Caenorhabditis elegans: one gene and its partners. Changing the gene in region 2 together with the main gene of any one other region gives a genetic interaction. Each region holds a gene or a part of one and is shown on either strand. Other genes may lie near its edges.

What was found.
Region 1: of pbrm-1 (region 2) and eor-2, changing one enhances a phenotype caused by changing the other (phenotypic enhancement), as found in Caenorhabditis elegans (one large-scale study listed by BioGRID).
Region 3: of pbrm-1 (region 2) and eor-1, changing one enhances a phenotype caused by changing the other (phenotypic enhancement), as found in Caenorhabditis elegans (one large-scale study listed by BioGRID).

Annotation. Positions count from the first base shown.
Region 1 is NC_003284.9:14,601,247-14,609,103, reverse strand, and holds eor-2 (EOR-2), read right to left. Parts: upstream 6,040-7,857; 5' UTR 6,013-6,039; coding exon 5,943-6,012; intron 5,856-5,942; coding exon 5,725-5,855; intron 5,511-5,724; coding exon 5,340-5,510; intron 5,248-5,339; coding exon 5,149-5,247; intron 5,094-5,148; coding exon of another isoform or gene 5,088-5,093; coding exon 4,665-5,087; intron 4,516-4,664; coding exon 4,356-4,515; intron 4,236-4,355; coding exon 4,191-4,235; intron 3,467-4,190; coding exon 3,378-3,466; intron 3,333-3,377; coding exon 3,026-3,332; intron 2,973-3,025; coding exon 2,678-2,972; intron 2,476-2,677; coding exon 2,346-2,475; intron 2,295-2,345; coding exon 2,151-2,294; intron 2,102-2,150; coding exon 1,933-2,101; intron 1,880-1,932; coding exon 1,742-1,879; intron 1,253-1,741; coding exon 1,086-1,252; intron 917-1,085; coding exon 683-916; intron 626-682; coding exon 479-625; 3' UTR 450-478; downstream 1-449.
Region 2 is NC_003279.8:7,493,816-7,498,503, reverse strand, and holds the start of pbrm-1 (Bromo domain-containing protein), read right to left. Parts: upstream 3,068-4,688; 5' UTR 3,063-3,067; coding exon 2,937-3,062; intron 2,891-2,936; coding exon 1,893-2,890; intron 1,841-1,892; coding exon 1,498-1,840; intron 1,442-1,497; coding exon 915-1,441; intron 837-914; coding exon 1-836. Other genes in the region: T28F4.4 (Inverted formin-2), read left to right, coding at 4,295-4,581, 4,638-4,688.
Region 3 is NC_003282.8:4,793,148-4,801,070, forward strand, and holds eor-1 (Zinc finger protein), read right to left. Parts: upstream 6,041-7,923; 5' UTR 6,030-6,040; coding exon 5,948-6,029; intron 5,887-5,947; coding exon 5,606-5,886; intron 5,551-5,605; coding exon 5,437-5,550; intron 5,379-5,436; coding exon 5,236-5,378; intron 5,191-5,235; coding exon 5,017-5,190; intron 4,962-5,016; coding exon 4,704-4,961; intron 4,656-4,703; coding exon 4,582-4,655; intron 4,480-4,581; coding exon 4,295-4,479; intron 3,521-4,294; coding exon 3,322-3,520; intron 3,266-3,321; exon of another isoform or gene 3,117-3,265; intron 2,866-3,116; coding exon 2,682-2,865; intron 2,473-2,681; coding exon 2,372-2,472; intron 1,721-2,371; coding exon 1,512-1,720; intron 1,462-1,511; coding exon 1,279-1,461; intron 850-1,278; coding exon 560-849; intron 498-559; coding exon 245-497; 3' UTR 47-244; downstream 1-46. Other genes in the region: dpf-7 (Dipeptidyl Peptidase Four (IV) family), read right to left, coding at 6,452-6,802, 7,089-7,205, 7,253-7,391, 7,596-7,923.

The DNA of each region.
Region 1 (7,857 bases), on a different chromosome or scaffold from region 2:
CAAAATAGCTCTCGCAACAAAATTATTTTTTGGTATGGGCCTATTTTAAAGAAGTTGTTTCAGTGGGGGTTTTGTCTTGATACACTTACAATAGTCCTTTTTTAAGTTTTGAAAAAAAAAATTTCAGAACACGTTCTGATAAAGTGCCCAGTTTTCGAAAACATTGGATTGTTTTTTTTAAATTTGGCCAATATCGTATAAATAAAAATAAAAATATAATTGAATTATGTTACGCAGAAAAATTCTTACAAAATTTTTTACAAAAGTTGTGTTGAAAAACTAATTATGAGAAAAGAAAAGCACAGGCAATCGGAAAGTTCAAGAAATAAGTGCGCAGCATTTGTTTCCATGTGATCAGCCGTCGCAGAAACACTACATTCTTCTTCTTCGCTATTATTTTTCAGGGATATCAGTCGAAAAATCAGAAATCGAAAATCAAAATGTGTTATAAAAGTTGTTCAAATTGTTTATTACAGTATTACACATCGCGAAACTCGTAACGGACTTGATCCCATAAATCGCAATATTTTTGAATGACACCAAGCGTCCAGACTTTGTCGGCTTTCGCTTTCTCCACAATCTTATCGGATGTCAAGTCGATATCAGATGTACCAATTTCTTCTAGCTGTAAAAAAGAACCGAATTAGCTTCATAACACTGTTTTAAAATTTAAATTAATTACCTTATCCTCACATATCCTAAGCATATGGAATTTAATATGATGCATGCGGTGAAGAAAGTCAACTGCCATTGAACACCGACCACACGATATCGCATCAGATACAATTGGATATTCTTCATCGTCTTCATTTTCATCATGGATATCGCTTGATAGATTCTCCACAAGCAGTTTTTCATTGCAAGATGTTTTGTCGAAAAAGTGAATCACTCTCCGCGGCTTTTTCCGTTTGCAAATCTGCAAAAACACACAGTTGTATAGACTTCATTCGTTTTGATGATCAGTTTCTAAATCATATAATTTATGTCAACTAACCACTATTTCCAATATTCTGCATATTCTGTAGCAAACAATGAACAATCAACTAGATGTTCTTCCTTTCCCTATCTTATTATATTTACTGTACCTGACACTTTGTAAAGCAGTGAAATGATGATTTTGATATGGCCAATCTAGTGTATTTCGCAATCCATCGATTGTGTTTCGGCTCGACAGGTATGCGTTTTTTGATCAGCCCTTCGCATTGTTTGTTGTTGGTTTCGAGTTCTGCTATTGAACGAGAATAGGTCCAATCTGAAAAAGTGGCGAGTTTTAATCGAATTCAAACATTTTATTTTTTGATTTTTCTTTTGTGATATTATGTTACACGGGAGCCGTGATCTACGTTTTATTACATTTCAAGAAGTTTTCTAAGTTTGCACATTTTGAAAAGTTTGCTATAATTTGCATGAACAAATTCAAAACATATTGATCTTGATAAGGCTTCATGTATTTTGTTACAAATTTTTCAAAAACTACCGCAGAGCTGTGCGCAAAATCATTTCGGCGAACAGTAACCTGTAGACCTTATTTGAGATATCGTTCAAATTTTTTAACAGAAAAAAAAAACAATTCTATGCTATAAACACTATGTGCATCAGTGAGCCGCCGCTCTGTAAATTGACCTAAAGGAATTTTAACAATTGTTTTGAAAACATATGGTTCTTTATTTTCCATTTGAATTTTGGGCATTCAAAATGAAATAAGCTTAGCGTGTCAGAAGTCCTTCTGTAACCACCTTACCTTTATCATCTATGAGGCTTTCCACGTGGGTTTTTGTAAACACCTGTGTTAGGTACGCGTTGACAAGAGTGTTTAGGGAGACTCGTCTTGGCTCCGTTAAAATTGAATCATCGTCTATTGGCTCAACCTTCGTCTCTTCTGCAACATTTATTTATAAAAGAAGGTGAAACAAAAAAAAATTATCAAAATACCTTCAAAAAACACAGTCCCAGGATTCTTGAACCATTCCACAGAGGACGCCGGAAACAGTTCGGCAAGGGGGACTTCGGGCTCCACTGTTGTCTCGGAACGTGTCTGTTTGATAATTTTCACAGCGACCCGGAAGTATTGTGATGAGATTTGTTCGCACCATCCCGAATACTGAAAACTGTGAAATATAAGCTGCGCTTTCTCAAAAATCAAATCTTACCGTACTACTACTGCGATAGACTAGTCGATTAGCTTTGCTATCTCTAAACGGAGGAAACTTCTGAAGTAAATTCTGATTGTCAACTCTCCATACAGCGCAATCTTCTTTCAGCATGTCAGCTTTGCATATTACATATGTTCCTTTCTGATAATACACAAATTGGGAATTAAAACAGAACGATCAATTCAAGCTCACGGGTAAAATTCCTTCAGCCGGGCCAAACATGCTGACGCGCTTCTTTTCTTCATCAGAGACGCATGGACCAATTGAAAAGTCCAAGACAGTTCGTCGAAAAGTGGGATCATTTTCTTTGTGCATTGTGTAACTGAAAATAGGACTTTCATAAATTGAAACAGTCGTAGTTTCTTCAAAACTACATATTGAAAATTTGGTTCTATCGCCGCGCCCGACACTTTTTGGGTTCCGCTCCCGGTAGGCGTTTTGGCGCCTGCATGGAAGCCCTACTTTATTTTTTTATTTGCCATGAAGAATAACTAGACTCCCATTCCCAATCAAATTCCACTTACACTTTCTTTGCCGTTTTCCTCTTCCTATACGCCACATCTTCAAAATCCGAGTCGTCATTATCACTTTTGTTCTTCTTTCTTTTATATCGCCTTCTAGTCATTGGTTCTTCATGCTGGTTTTGCACTTGCTCAACCCTTATTATAAATTTCGGAAGCATTGGCTCTTCTCGTGTCACTTTTCTCATATTCCTCACGCATTCTGTGCTGGTAACTTGTTCGGGTTTTAAGAATGCGCAAACCAGTTGCTGATCTTTTTGAGCACGAATTTCATCAGCTGTCGTGAAAAATGCTTTCTCTGAAATAGGTAATTTTGATATAAATATATGGTATTGTAAAGTTAAATATTACCATTAATTGTGTCATTGAAATTCGGCTGATGAGTTGCTGATGGTTTGGAATAATATTTCTTACTACTATACTCCTTTTCTTTATCATTTCGAATTGAAAACCCTACTCCAGTTATGTATACACTTTTCGCCTTCTGTTCAATCTTCTTCGTAAGCTCAGGCTCACGCCTCAAATCTGCCGAAGGCCCACCAAACACGAAATCATCGTCATCCTCAAACTCAAAAGCATCATAGTTTGGATCTTCTTTCCGAGCGTTTTCTCTTGCTTCAAGGGACATGAGGGCAGCTTTTTGTTTGTACACAGGAACCTGAAACATTTGAATTTTTAAAAACATTTTGTAAATGTGGATTACATTTTGTGGTTTAACGAAGTTGTTGACAAAGTCATCCTCTTCTTTTGATGCAGCGGTTGGAGCAGGTTTCGGGACTCTTTGTGGAGTAGCTGTAATTTAGTTTTGATTAATGTGATTTGGAGTTGGTAAAACTAATTCTAAAGACAAGTTACTTAAAAATGATATTAAAAAGAGATTATTGAGTCTGAAGAATGTTTATTCAAAAATAAAAACGATGAATTTCATTTTGATAAACATTTTTTAACGTGGTTTGCAGACATCTACAAAAAAATTTATTCCATAAAAATTGAGGTCTGGTTAAGGAAAACATAGCGAGACATGGGTGCGCAACAATTGCCGAAGTTTCAGAATGTCGAAAATTCATAAACCGGCATATGCCAAAATTGCCGATTGTCGGAAATTTTGAAATCCAGCAATTGCCGGAATTGCCGATTGCCGGAAATATATAAATAAACTTGATACTTTTTGAGGATTTAGGAGCCTAAACATGCATTTTAATCATTAATTTTCTATTTTCAAGCTCAAAATGATTTATTCCTTTAAGGATTGACCATTTTCTTTAAAAAAAAGACTAACCGAATACTAACAAAAAGGGGTGGAATGTTTTCAATTTTATTAAAATATATTTAGGTTTGAAAATCGCAGAACGTGTCCGGCAATTTAGACAATTTTGGCAATTTCGCCAATTGCCGGAATTGCCGGAAATTTTGAAAACTGGCAATTTCGGTAATTTCGCCAATTGCCGAAATTGCCGAAAATTTTGGAAACTGGCAATTGCCGGAATTGCCGGTTGGCGGAAATTTCCGAAATTACCTATTGCCGGAAATTCCTTATTGCCGCGCGTCCCTGTAGCGATATCTAAAATGGGGAAGATTGTCGGTGAAAAAAATTTCCTTCTGTGGTATATCATTATTCCAAACAAGTGTATTTTTCTCAAAGCGAAATACCCATTAGTTTTACTAAAAAATATACTCTTACCGTCTTTACTTGTGGATGGAACATCATGAAATACCATTTCACTCCTTGGTTTCGGTACTGGCTTTTCTTTGGTGGCGGCTTTTGCAGATGTCGATGGTGCTGATATTCCAAATATTTCGTCAAATGTCAGTTCAGCTTGGGGAGAGTCGGGTGGCGTAAACTAGAAAAGACTGACTAAAAATGGAAATTGATTGGAATTTTTTTTTGTAAAGATAGTAGGTAAAGAAACTCATTCAATCATTTTAGTTTTGAACGAATTTTGTGAAAACTGTAATTTTCTTTTTTCCAGACTCATCCTTTCCCACTTACATCAATAGGACTATGAACACGATCCGCCGAATCGGGCCGTCGATACATCGAGCCGGACCTCACGTCACTTTCCGAAAGTGATAATCCAAAAATATTGTCTACATCATCATGCGCTTCATCATCAAAGTCGATCGCGTCCCCTTTCGTCGCGTCCACCGATTCCGAAGACGTCGGCATAGACGAAGCAGCAGATGGTTCCGAAGGTTTAGTCGCCAGGCTTACAGTTGCCGTCAGTGGGGTGGCACAAGATACTGCTGGAGTACTATTGAATGTGGTTCCAGCTGAAACTTGTGCAGATGGTGTTGTTGATGGTGTCTTTGCTTGTTTCGGGTCGAGTAAAGAATCCACACAAATGTTTTTCATCCAATCTTCAACAGCAGCTTGTGCCTGAGGTATGGTCGTTTGTGCGAGTTGGGTAGTTTTCTGAAACTTTATCACACATGTTAAATATAATTAATTTATTATCCAAACCAATGCCACTTACTAGATTTAAATTTTGTCCTAGTTTGTTTTCGAGCATCATAGAGCTCTGAACAGCGAGATTATGCATTGATGTGGTGGGAATCATAGGTTGAGATGCGTTCTGAAATTATACATTGAATAAATGAACGGAATTTACTTTTTAATTAAATTTTTTTGAGAAAGAGAAAAAGCGGTTGAAACAAACCAACTTACAATTTGTGTTCCTGAAGTAGTTGGAATGGATGCGGAGAACACGTTGCTTGAGGTAGATGGCTCATTCCCAGTCATTGAGTTGAACTGCGACATTGTAAGACTTGCTTGAGGTTGCTTCTGGTTTCCGTTGTTAAAAGTGTTGTACATCGATTGCATTGCTCTTAGTTGGAACTGAAACAACAAGAAGTATACAAATTTAGTTTCGACTAGCTTTTAATAAAGTTATGTAAATAAAATAATAATTCAAGTGCAAAGTATGCGACAAAGATAGTCAAAATGATATACACAGCTCACGTCAGATTTATAATCCTATCTTATTTTCAAAAATGAGTAGTTTAACATTTTTGTCACTCGAATATATTTTTGCTAGAATTTTCCAACTCACTTGCTCAATAAGAAACTGATTTTGGAGATCGGTTTGGAGATCGCCATGAGGCAACAACTGATTGCCCATGCTGTGCATTTGCAACGACTGAATTGTTGACATAATTGCGTTGGTATTTCCATGAGGAATTCCTGAATAAAAATGCATATAAAATAAGTTTAACAATAAGTTTTAAATTTTAAATTTTAAGTTTTTTTTTTTAATTTCTTATTGCTTACCATTAAACTGCCCGGAAAACCCATTTGCCGAAAAGTCGGGCAGCAAAGATTTTTGATTACGTTGATCCATCGAATTTCATTAGTGCAGTTAGATAATCTACAAATTGGCTATTAATACGGAAACCAAACCTATAAATAAATCTAGTAAAACGCGGAAAGCAGCAAAAAAAAACGCTTTCGTTACACAATTCGAATGACCGCCATCCTATTGATTTTTCGTCCGCGAGAGGAGGTCGGCGCAAAAGAACACATCGCAGTCGGTCGCGTGTGTTTACATGTGAGTAGTGGTTAAGGATCGGAGAGTGCAGAGAAAGAGGACAAGTCGACTGGACGGACGGACTGAGTGACTGTGTAAGGGCGAATAGGCACGCGGGTGTAATTATATGAAGGGTAATGGAAGAGATAGTGGCTGTACGGACGAGGATGTTTAAAACGTAGGCCATATTGATGCTTTCCGCGATTTTTAATACAGGAGACTAATCAAAAATAGACATCACGATAACTCATAAATGCATCTTTTCAATTATTACATTGTAAGGAAAAAGTAGAAAAAGCTTAATGTATTCACTTGATTTATTTTCAGGTTTAGTTTTTCCATCCGCAACAAGAATTTTAAGGAAAAAAGAAAAATGAATGAATAGTAACTTTTCAAATAGATAATACAAAAATACTGAACCTAAAAGTTTAAAAAATGTCTTATCAGGTTTGTTTCATTTTAAGTGTGCTGTGCATATGTGTTACCAACAGGAATCGTTTTTTTTTTTGAATGCATGTTTCAAATTCAGAAATTCCGTTGTCAATTTTTATTTTATCCGTAACAGAAAATAGAGAGAGTATACAAAATTACCACATATTGATTTTAATGAAAATCACCACAGTGAAGTCTTGTTCTGTTTTCGGAATTTCGAAGAGTGGATTATTTAAAATTTTTATTGCATCCAGTTCAACATTCTGAAAAAAATTTCTTGTGTTTTTTGAAATGAATAGCGCAGTTACAAAGACGGTGGTACATCGACCTGAAAGAACAGAAAATTTGCTATTTTTTCTGGTAGGACACTTTTTTGCTACTCGCAATTAACCAGTCTAAAATAATTTCCACACGTTTTAATGGTGGTAGCAAAAAAAAAATTTCTTGGATTTTTTTTGGAGTGAATAGTGTAGTTGCAAAGACGGTGGTACATCGACTTGAAAGAACAAAAAAAATTATATTTTTTCATGTACGGCACTTTTTTGCTACTCGGAAAATTCGAATTTCAAAAAAAAATTCAATACGGAGGAAACAAAAATAGCCATATTTTCAAAATAGGTATTTTTTTGCTGCCAGTGGTTAGACGTTTAGTGGAGATACACTTTACAAAGACAATTTGTATTTTTGATTAAAAAACAGCATAGTTTGAAATCTGCAACGTGTTATATACAGGTCTTTTTCATGTTTCATTCATTCAGTTAATTCGTCTTTGTTTTGGTAATAAATAAATTACGATTTTGTTTTGATGTTACGTTATTGCAAAATTAAAAATTCTTGATTTGTCTACGAAACTATGCTGTCAGAACTCGACAAAATCTAGTTGAAACATTTTTCATTCAGTATAAATAAAATTTTGGATTTGATGTGCTTCAATAAAATGTAAAAATTGTTTTATTACAAGTTTAAAGGTTAAACAATAAGTCAATACCTGAAATTGAAAAAGACAAGACCATTGCATTAATTTTCCAGATCAGTATTATTTTGAGAATTGCTTTAAAACGTTAATGCTAAAAACCTTTATTTGTAGTTTTTAAACCGGCTAAAGTGAGAAGTCTTATACATATGTTTTCCGCGTTGTTGTACAAAAATTGATATTTTAGAAACACTTTTTGTAAAATATTGAACTACTGTTCTTGTATACATAGAGAGCTGGTCAGAAAGAAATTC
Region 2 (4,688 bases):
AGTACGCATTTGAGTGTATCAAATCTTTGCATCGTGTATCACGTTCAACAATAAATGATTTTTGAAGTGTACATGCTGCTTCGTACATTGAAGAGCCTGCTTTTGAGAGTTCTCTTGCTCTTTCGAACAGATCGAAAAAGTCCTTTTGAAGCTTATCGAGTCGTCTGTAACGGCATTTATCTATATTCATCTTAATTTGATCAAGAGTGAATGGCCATTCAGATGAAGGTACTCCATTCGCTTTGAGAACTTCCGTAAATTCAGTTAAATGATCCGAATAACATTTTCCTTCTTCATCTTTCTTACTGAACAGCGAGGCAAATATTGAAGTAAATATGGTTCTCAATTCAACCTGAACTCTTGGTGCATCATCTCCGGTATCAAGCTCTCGCTTCATTTCCAAAAGTGCCTTCTGAAGAGAAACTGCTTCCTTGTAGATGTCAGAATCAGTCTCATTGAATTTGCAGGCATTAGAAAGCATTAGCATGAAATCAGAAACCACATCAAGCAGTGTTACATACTGACGATTCTCCAGCTTATGCTTGATCCTCATCATATCCATCGGCTTTTTAATGACGTCATAATATGCAGGAAATTCCTCCTTTGATGGAAGACGCATGAAGTTTACAGCCAATGGACGGTTGGTTCCTTCCTCACGAACATCTTTCATAGATTTGAACAATCTCCACATTTTTTGCTCTTCGATTGGAAGCTGCATTATAGCATCCTCCATGCTTCTTTGATGTTGTTGTATGTTAATTCGAGCTGATTCCTCATCATCAGATCCACTAAAGTTCTTTTTACCGCGACCACGGACCTCGGATTTCGGAGTTTTTCTGAATAAATATATTTGCAGTGAGAAATATGACCAAATTCAAAAATATGCAATAAATTAAGAAAATTTTATAACTTACAGTTTCATTGCTTTCATAAGATTTGACGATGACGAATGAGGAGTTGACGGTATTGAAGAGCCCAGTGACGTGTTTCTCATTCCTTCATAAGCTCGCAAAACTGCTTTCTCTAGTTGAATAGCATCCATGTGTATCATTGAACGGGGTTCATTGAAATCTCTAGCATTCGAAAACATCACTCGACAATCGTTGATCATTGCATCAACCTGTGGATACTGATGTCCATCTATTCTCATCCGAATCGTTTTCATATCAATCGGATTTTGAATAATTTGATAGTATTCTGGATATTGTTTGGCAGATGGCAATTGTATGAATGCTCCCGCTGGCCAATGTCCCGGATTCGAAGCGACTCTGTAGGAATGGATAACGTTCCAAAGCCCTTGCATCATTGCTTTTTGCTTCATATAAGCAGCATTTGGATCGACAGGGATCGTCGATTTTCTGCCTTTAAAAGTTGGAGTAGGAACACTTCCATTTTCACGAGGTTTTTTCGGAGATTTCCTTTTATGAGTAGGAGGTGGAGTCTGAAATATATTACATTTTTGAAAAGTATCAACACAAAATAATATTAAACACATACCCTACTATCTTCCGAGTCTGTGTCCGGCATCTCAATCTTAATTCGAGCTCTGTGTGGTGTCGCTTTTGGTTTCACTGGTGTAAGTTGTGCCGGAGCAGGTTCGTATTGAGAAACATCGAATGAAGGAACAAGTTGCTTGCACGTGGATATCGTTAGTGCCTTCAGCTTTTCCGCAGAAATGTAGACTTCTGATGATTCAAGATTGTAGTCGAAAGCATTTGAATACATTTGCATGAGATCAGCGACGAGAGATTTCAAATCATATTTCCCATTTTTCAATCTTTTATTTATCATGAAAATTGACACAGGGTTTTTGATCTCATCATAGTAGTCGGGGTAAGATCTAAAATGGAAACATTTAATATGGACATTTTAATATTTTCTTTAATACTCACTCTTTGCTTGGAAGTTCCAAAAAGTTGTCAGCCAGCGTAACATTTCGATCTTTCTCGTGAACAGCATTTCTGATTGTCCAATACAACTTCCACATAGGCTCCGAATTTGTTTCAGTTTCTTCGTCCTCTTCTGAATCTTCTGAGAAGTTTTCATTAACTGCAACAGCGGTTAACAAAGCATCAACGAGTCGTGTGGCTTTGGCTCTTCTCATTGGATGAACTCCCTTCTCTTCCAATCGAGCAATCTTTTCTTTCACAACAGTTTTCAATTGTTCAGCATCTTTGAAAATATCACTACCGTTTCCACTAAACTGCTGTGCATTTTTGAAGAGCAGGAATAGATCATCTTTGAGTTCTTTCATTGTGGAATACTTCTTGTTCACTCCGTTTTGAGCAATCGTTTTGAGATCAATTGGTTTAGCTATTTTCTCATAGTACAATGGGAAATCTTCTCGACTTTGAAGAACTCGGAATGGTGGGCAAAGAAGCCTTCCGGTGTTATCAGTCGCTTCAAGAACCGCTCCCAAAAGATCACAAAGCATGAAGTGATCCAGGTCCATAGGTGTCGAATCACGAGATGATGTTCCACTCTCTTCAGGTTCTTCCTCTTCCTGAACTGTCTCTTCCACATCTTCGTCTCCCTCTTCGTCCTCTGCGTCATCTAGATATTCTCCAGATTTCACCTTAGCGGTAGCAGCCTCGAAAAGTTCTTGAATTTTCATCATATCCTTGTGTTCTTCAGATTCGTCTTTGTAGTAAGTGAGGTTGTTTTTAATGAACATCATGAAATCATCATTAAACTGATCATACGTCAAATATTCGGGAATTTTCAGTTTATGTTGGATTGTGGTAACATCAATCGGCTCTTTTACTTGCTCATAATATTCAGGCTCGAAGCGGCGTGGCGGTAATCGGAGAAAACTCTCGAATACAGAATTATTGCCGGCGGAACTTCGATGTTTTCGAATCTGTGCCATCACATAATTACCCTTCGCCATCTGGAAAAAGAACAATAAATTTACACTTATATTAAATATATTCAACCTCAAACTCTCGCTTTTCCTTTTCCGCAATTGTCATTCGTCCTTTCCGCTTCTTGGAAGCGGTAGAAGTGGAAGCAACATCCTTTTCCGGGTCGGGCTCGGCAGCACGCTTTCTTTTCGTACTCATTGAGTCTGAAAACGGAAATAATTTGAAAGTCGAGCAAAATTCTTGAGACAGTAACAGATTAACAAAGAATAGAATAAGAATAACAAATGAGCTACAATAAAACTGAGATAGATCAACTAGAATTAAACGTTAGAAGAATTTTAAACTTTATTTTGAAATTTATATTTTTACACATTTTTAGTTTGGTAGCTATGCTTCCAACTCTATGAGAGATTCTACTTTGATCTTTTGATTGGTGTGCCGGCGTGCGCGCGAAACTTGAAAATTTGAAAAAGAAGAAGGGTGAAGTGCAAGTTCTTATAAATATTTGTGAATTTGCGAACAAAGTTTATTTCTATTGATGAATTTTCTTAAAATTTTAATAAATCTTCAACTGCTTTGTTATACATTAATAGAGGAACGAAAATTGCCAGGAAAAATAGATTATCTCTTACTTCTCGAAAAGAGTATTAGTTCTTATTTATGAGCTTTAAAGAGAGTTAACCCTAGAATTTTACATGATTTATTTGCATCTGAACATTAAAAATGGAACCATGCTGAATTAAATTTTTAAATCCGCAAAAAAAATTTTGTAAAAATGCTAGAAAACGGCCAAGAAACGAGCGTATTGGGTCGCCTTCAAAATAGAAAATGCGCGCGAATAGTGTTGGCTGGGTGCCAGACACAGACAACACGAGAGTGTACAGGAAAAGAGTAACGCAGTGAAAAGGCCGTGCACGAGAAAGGCGTCAACACGGGGAGATTCTTGTTCGACGTAAAGTGTGGGCAGTAAAGGATTTACTATTGATTTCTTAGAAAAAGTCTGATTCAGAAGGTATGTGAATTGTTTCGAATTGTTTTTTATTAGAGAAATGAACTGCAGAAGCCGTTTTTTTGTTTTCCTCATTCAAATTAATAGCAATTTCTTTATTTACAATCAACAATAGTTTTTTAATAGTCAATTACATTGATTCCTAAAAAAATACGTCTAAATAATAAAAATGTAAGCAAAATAGCTTAAAATCAAGAAAAAACAATTTTTAATTGCAACTTCAAAATTTGAAAATATGCGCCAGCAAGAACTCGTTGGCGCGTTTTCGGATTTTCAATTCAGTAAGAGAGAGAGGGGGAGTGCGCGCGTCTCTCCCTTCACAACAAATATCGACCGAATCAAACGAAAGAGAATAGACGGTGTGCATGTGTGCGTGTAGAAAAGACAAAAGGGATGCATAATGGTCCAATTGTTACAGGCAATGAGCGCAAATGGAGGTGCGATTCCACCGAAAAAGAGGAGAAGTGTTGCGAACGACGAATCAATTCAGAACAAGAGATCCAAAGCTGCCGATACAAGAAATGAATTTGAGAATGTCATTGCAAAAATAAAAGTAGAAGATAAAGATGTGGCACTGAAATCTGCAAAAAAGTTGAAGGCAATGCTTCCAAATGAAACAAAAATTGGAAGTTTTGTATCACATAAAAAGAATCTAGAGGATTTAGTTTCGGTCTTTTCTAGAGAAACTAGCTTATTGGGCACTTCTATGTTAGTTATATCAAGGAAACCGTAAAGATCTGGAACAAAACATATCATTTATTCAGGTACCACGAGGATCTTCATAAATCCGTTATAAGTATATTGGCTAATTGTTG
Region 3 (7,923 bases), on a different chromosome or scaffold from region 2:
CGCTTTTATGTGGTCTGGAAGAAAAATAAAACAATGTTTCAGTTAAAAATGTCATCTATAATTTCATAAATTTATTTATAACCATAAAAACCATTTAGGACTAATTAGGCATTAAACAAGGAGATCATACACATATCAAAATGAAGGCATTAAGAACAATTTGAAACATGTTACAAGAAAAGGCAAAGATAGTAAAGGGGTTTTTTCAAAAGTGAGGTTTTAGGCAGTTTCAGGACTATATTTATTATTGTACATTCCACGGATTCCATGCATTATTGGAATTATCTTGATTATTCGGGGTTCCAGTCGGTGGAAGCCCGGCTGCTTGTAGTTGTTGTTGAAGTTGCTGGAGTTGAGCCGCCTGAGCCAAATCCATTTGTCCGTAGGTTGGAAGTGAGAATGGACGGAGTTGCTGTTGTTGCTGCTGTTGTTGTGGATCAGAGTTTGTGGAGAGATTGTTGAATTGCGGTTGGACAGCACTCCGGTTATGTGGAGATCTGGAAAATAATGTTTAGAATTAATGCGGCACTGCTTTTTGCAAAATTTACAGGTAACAAACCTCATCACCAAGTTAGGTGTCATCAAAACTCCATGTGTATTGTCTGATCCTTCAGGTCCACCACCACCACCACCTCCTTGACCACCTCCAACAGAATCTCCCGGTGAATCCTGTCGCTGCATCTGATGATGATTGTCCCGTAATGGAACATTCATCATAGACATACAGCCAGGTGATTGGGCATGATGTTGATGTTGAGATGGATGAACGACTGAGAAGGCACGCTGAGGAGATGAAGGGTTGCCGTAAGTTGATGGTCCACCGTAATCGTTGGGATTCGGAGAGTACGTCTGGAAATTGATAAATGAGAAATTTCTAGATTCTAAGTTTGTATAACCCCAAACGGCCGATTTTTCAAAAATCCCAAAAACCATCAATTTTTCCTTGTCGAAGCAGCTGAAATATAGTTTCTATTAAACTATAACCCGTTATTGCATATTTTCGGTACTAGATCTTGCTGAAATTCGCCGATTTAGGCACTTTTAAAGTCGATAGGCATCCAAAAATCATCAATATTGGCATAATATGACCAAAATTGGATGCTTATTGACTTTAATAGTGCCTAAATCGGCGAATTTAAGCAAGATCTAGTACCGAAAATATATGCAATAACGGGTTATAGTTTGAAAGAAACTATATTTCAGCTGCTTCGACAAGGAAAAATTGGCGAAATTTCAGAAATTCTGTCGCTTGGCTCTTCGTTAATTCAATAAACCTACCGAAAAGTCATTAGTAGCCTGCCAATTGCTAACAGCATCATCAGAAGTAATTGGACGGAACAGAGCATCCGGATTATTCACAATATTGCTCGCGGCAGCCAACATTCTCTGTCTCTTATACTTTCTTCGTTGAGTCTTTTGGAATGTGAGCACTTCCGAATTGTGATGCTTGATGATGTGCTCCTAAAAATTATGAAAATTATCAAAAATTATCATCTAAAATGCTCAAAAACCTTAAGCTTATCACGCCGACTAGATGCATATTCACACTGATCACACTTGAACGGCTTCTCCTCCAAATGAATCCTCTCGTGACGGACCAGATGTGATTTTTCGATGAATCCACGGCCACAGATCTTGCAGAGATGGGCGCGAACCGCCATGTGGGTACGGAGATGGGCCGCCAGTTGGCTTTTTTTGGTCGACGAGTAGTCGCAACCGGCTGAAAATTAACAGTAATGTTTTCAGGATCTTTAAATATGTCATTTTATAGTGTAGTTTTCAGGATCTTTAAATATGTCATTTTATAGGAAAAATAACAAAAAATTGCTCAGATCAACTCCATAGCTGTTTAAACAATACTCCATGTTTAAAAACTCGAAAAAATTACGCACAGCGTGAAGCGAGCTGGGAAAGGCCCTGCATTGGAGAAGAAGAAGCTCTGAGAAAAGTTCTCTGCAAAAGCGCAAAAACTAATGAAACACGTCGAAATGATTTTATGTCGAGCGCGACGATAAAACCATTACCAAATACCTACAGTACCCCAGTGTGTGTTCGGCAGAAAAAAAAAGTGAAAGTGATATGATCCACAGATGATCTAACCACTGTTTCTATCTTCAGCCGCCGTTTTCTTTCGTTTTTTCGACCATTTTTTGTGCGGAAAAGGCGGCGCTGTGTCGCCAAGGAGAAACGAAAATTAATGGAATAGTACGGGTGATAAGGAGACGCAGCGAGGGGGGTTTTTGGTTGGAAAAAAGTAGAAGTGAACTGCGCAAAAGTCATCCAAATGATGGATCGGTTGGCAGGTGATAACGGAACTATTCTGGCATTCAGTGTATTCCAATGCGTGGTGTTACAGGAAATACAAACTGACCAATGTGACAGCTAAAATTGTCTCCAGTATGTTGACGACGATGAAGGGAAAGATGATCGGCGGTTTTGGTGGCGAAACCGCAATCCTCACAGATATAAGGCCTGAAATTTGGAAGAATTTGATGGAAATTGTGAAAATTCTGAATTTGAATAAAAGTCGCCTTGTTTGGTTTTGAGACAATTATTATTATTGCCTCCAAACGTTACTAGCAAAATTGGAATTGCCTCAAAATCAGATCTTGCATGGTTTTTTATTTCAAATTCGCACATTATTAACTTTCAGATCTCGAAATTTCATAGTAAAAACTTACCTAGGATCATTATGACTAGCAACATGATGATCCAATGTACTATGCTGTTGGAATCCTCTTCCACACTCTTCACAGTGTAATGATCGATCATCGAGTACAGAATGCATTCGTTCGTGAGCAAACAGTTGAGAACGAGTTCGACCTTTCCATGCACATTCACCGCATTTGAAGAAACGCTCGTCGGCTGAAAATTTGACAATTTTAGAGGGTTTTTTTGTTTCTTTTAGAAAGTAATTTTGGAAAACAATTTTATTCAGCCGTTTTTTTTCGGTTTTAATGTGTTTCCTTCGGCAAAGTCAACGTGTGTCTGATGGTAAATTTAAAAAAAAAACAGAAAATTGAAAGCTTAGCTATTCATTCGATTTTTTGGAGATTAATTAAAAATTTAAATTGATATTGTTGGTAAATTCTGAAAATATGAAAAAAACATTATCGATCAATTTTTTTACAAAAATTAATTTTCATAATTTGGTTTTTTAAATGAAAATAGGTTTATATTTCAAGAAACATTGTGAATTTCAGAAAAAGAAACGATTTATCTGAAAATACATTTAATTTTTTTGTAGTTTCAAAAAAAAAGAGTTTTTTTTTCAAAATTAAAAAATGTACGTTTTTTTCCAAAATTTTTGTAAAAACTCACTATGCTGAAGCCTATGGGTCAAAAACTCTTGTATCTCATTTGAAGTGAACGGACACGTTTCACATCGATACGGTATCTCTGTCCAGTGCTCAGCACAATGAAGATAGAATTGTTTGCTCCAATTGGTTTCAAATTCACATAAATGACACATATAATACGTATTGCGATTGTGATGACGAGCTTTGTGCTTTTCGAGAAGCTGAAAATATGAGGAAATTGTTGAAGAATCGATCGAAATATTTTACAACACTTTTCTGGTTTTTTTTTTTTTTTGGTTTTTTGGAACATAAAACTCATAAAACCAGCAGAAGATCGTTCGTACACGAGTTTGTTTTTACATTTTCCCAAAATATGGAACTTTACATCAAAATATTTTTAAAAAAATAAATTATGCATGAAAGTTTCCAAATTGTGCTGTAATTCTTTAAAAAAATATTTTTAAAGATATATATTATATAGACACAAAAATTTGCAATTTTCGAGCCTGGTCTCGACACGACAAATTTTCGTTAGAACCGAAAACAATTATGCGCCTTTAAAGATTACTGTACGGTGTTTTTGTTGATTTTTCATAGTTTTTTTTTCTAAAATTTAAGCTTTTTAAAAACTATTTAAATTTCGGAATATTTGGTTGATAAATAAATATATTTTATCGAAAAACTAAAAATAATCGATAAAAACTCCTCAGATTGAAAATACAGTAATCTTTAAAGGCGTAAATTTTCTTGATGTAGCCAAAAATCGTCGTGTCGAGTTTTGTATATTAAATAAACGCCAAAATATGAAATTTTCGCCAAAATCTGGTCAGGTCTCACCACACCGACAACAGGTTACTGTAGCCCATTGTTCGGTGTGTCGAGACCTTTTTGACGTCTAAAAATAGAATAAATCATATTGACGGTTTAAATTTGAGAAAAATAATATTTTTTTCGCATTTTTTCAAGGTTTTAATTGATTTATTTTTTGTCAATACCTCCTCATTTGCAGTCCGCAGTCCACAGAAAATACAAGTGGACGGTCCATTCTCATCAGGTTGATCTTCTTCATCTTCACAATCATCTGGATCCAAATTGTCAACTGGTCCATAGGTATGACATCCTTCCAATGAACATGTAGCATATACACCATCAATTTCGTCTTCGTCGATCCATGGAATACCTGGAAATTTTATTGATAAGGAATTTGACAGAAGATTTCTTCAATTTTTGATTTTACAATTTCACAAAATCCCTTTTTTTTTGAGAAAAAAAACCAGCTCACTTTCATTTTCCGTCGCATTAATCGGTGGAATTGGGTGCAAATGATGTTTTTTCATTCCTTTTGGTCGTTTTAATCTAAAATTTTCCATTGAATTTTATCAATTTTTTCATATAATCACTAACCGCTTCTTCTCATTTCCCGGCTGGAATGCAATCTTCATTTTCAGTCGATTATTAACATCATTTCCGTATTCAACAACTTGTGCAGATGTTGGATGTCCATCAGCTATATAATCATCTGGATCCTCTTCAGAATCACTTGAATCATAAATATCATCTTCAAATTGAGATGGATCGTGGAGAATCGGAAGATCAACGATTTTCTGACGAAGACTGCTCAGTTGAGTCGAGTACTTTTCCATAAGCATGTTATTTGTTTCCCTACAAAAATTATTTCATCAGTAATAATTTTGTAAACTTTAACAACTCCACTTACATGACATGTAGTAGCAAAAATCGACTTTTCTGACTTTTCGATAGCAACGGCGAGTAATCCAGAAGAAATTCCAGTGTGTCAGCTGAAACTTCTCGAAATTCGCAGGATTCTAGTAGTAATCGGAAGATTTCCTCTCGCTTCGATACTTCTTCACCGACCCAGCGGACTATTAATCTGAAAAAATTACTGTTTTAGTCATTTTGGAACGAAAAAACTCACTTTAAATAAGTGTCAGAAGTAATACAATCCACGTATTTCGGATCTCCAATGAGTCTTGTCAGTTGTGTATACGTGTAACCAATTATATCTCTGGATTCCAGTAAACATCGATTAAGATTGCTGTCAAAGTAGTCTGTAGCAGACTGAAAAAAGAAATTCGAAGTTTCTCGCTTTTAAAGCTTTAAAAATTCAAATTCTTACTTTCACAAGTCCTGGTAGATTATATCTCTGAGCTAACGTTCGTATTGATAAGCAATTGGCCGCGTCTAGATATCGATCCAAATAAGCTGCACAATACACTTTTAGCTTCACTATCTGAAAAAAACGGAATTATAGCAGGAATAGTCGATCGAAAAATCAATAATATTACCAGAAAATTATTTGCAAATCTCAATAGCTCCGAAACACTTGATCGATCGATAATCACTGTTCCACTGTACATATAATTGAGGAATAACTCGAAAACTTGTGGAGATTTGCTATTTATTGTGAGCTGTTCCTTTGTGATTTTGCAATATTTGAAAATTGCGTCAAAATATGGACTGTGAGCTGCTAAAATGTTTCGATGAGCCGCAAATGATTTGTTTTGAACAACAATTTCCACATCACAAAATCGGCCGGTTTTTCGTTGATATTGTAATCGTTGGAACACTGAAAAATAAAAGTTAATTTAATTATCAAGCCAAGATTGAATTAAATACAAAACTCTTACACATATGACTGGTTTGCCCAGAACTATCATCAAATGTCATTGGACAGAGCCCTGTGTTTTCGGAACTAGCTACTAATGTCATCTGAAATTAAATTGAAATAATTTTCATTGCGATTTTATAATTTATTCGATGGGAAACTCACATTTTATCGAGGAAGACGTCAATAAACTTAGAATAAATGCTCCGATTCAAATCGGGTGAGGAGTGTGCAGACGCGCTCTACTGAACAATCTAAAAGATTATCGATTTGCAAATATTATTTCAATGGATTTTTAACGATAGTTATATATTTAACGAAATTCAAATTTTATTCGAGATTTCAAAAAAAGAAAATATATATCTGAGCATAACGACACATAAAAAATTTAAAACTGAGCGAAATTCCAATTTGTAACATATTTTAACAACGAATTAAAGCTGATGTAGACATTGTTCTAATCGGCGTTTTTTTAATGAATTAACAATATAAGTTAGTAATAATTCAAGAAAGAAAAAATAAATAATTAATCATCAGGAACCGGCGTTTCAATTCTAGAACCATTCTCGTATTCTCCATATGGTGTTCTATAAAATTGAATGACTTTCACAACGAAATCATTCACTTGTTCGTCTTCTTCTTCGTATTCTCCAAAACACGGAACGCCATTATTGTGAATTGTAGACTCAAAATCTTTGTACTTTGTATCGCTTTTATTCTCCAGAACAATCAACATCGGAGTAACAATTTCAGACGCATGTGAGACCGGCTCCACGTCTTTCAGAAATTCAGCTTCAGGGTTTTCTGTATCAACTGCACACGTTGTGAATGGAAATTCGAGCATCGGCCGTACGAGTGCACATCCTTTATAGAATTTCTGAAAATAGTGAATTAAAAAATATGAAAATCCATGAGACGCTAAATTTTGTGATTTTCGTGCCAAAAATAGAAAAATATCGGGGTAACGACACGACATTTTTTGAAAGTTAAAGGTGGAGTACCGAAATCAGAGACTTTGTTTTTTTTTAACTATAATGTCGCAAAACTGACGGATCTATCAATAAAACTTTCAAAATATTTCTGAAGAAAACATGTCGTGTCGAAACCGGGTATTGTATTTTTCACCAAAAATCGCAGAATCTCGCGTCGATGTAATATCCCACCTTATGTTTGATAATCAGACTACACGCCACAAAAGATCCAAATTCAAATCCATACAAGTAAATATATTTTTCATCTAACCGCGCTCCGTGTCTCTCGAGAACTTCTAGTACAGTTTCCTGTAAAAAAAATCATAAAATGAGGAAAAAAACGAACGATTCTCTACATGAACATCATTAATACATTCCGAACCACAATTCTTTGGAAAGCAGGTTCCTGGAATTGCTATAAATGGCTCCCGATAGTTTACAACTAGCACACAGAAGCCACAAGTTACCATTGTAGAGAGCACAGGGTCAACGGTACTGAAAATTTAAATTTAATTTTAAATTTATAAATCAATTCTTTATAAACAGGGAAAATTGCTATTTGAACATTTTTAAATTAAAAAAATAAAGATAGAAAATTGCGGTTGAAATTGAAAGCTCGATCCGTGAATTTTGCAATTCTTTCGATGCTTTTTTTGTTGATTTTTCAATAAATTTTGAGTCTAAAGAAAAAAAATCTACCTAACGGTGAAATTAGGTTCTAATCCGGAAAAGGGGACCACGACCAGCGGGAACTTCGATCCGGGAGAAACACATTCCGGCAACATGTAGAGTATCGCAGAATTGCCAATTTTTTGAAAACTCATTGGATAAATGTGAAAATTGTGAATCGTATCGTTTTCTGGCTTGTGTGTGCATAACAGCGATGCCGTGAATTTACCATCACTTTGTGAGCCCAATTGAGAATGCCAAAGACGAGAATAAGCGTTTGCTGTGATCGTTTCAAAAAGGAATTCATCGCCTCGAACATCAATAATTAGTGAAGGCCGTTTCAAGTCAAGGCACGTGG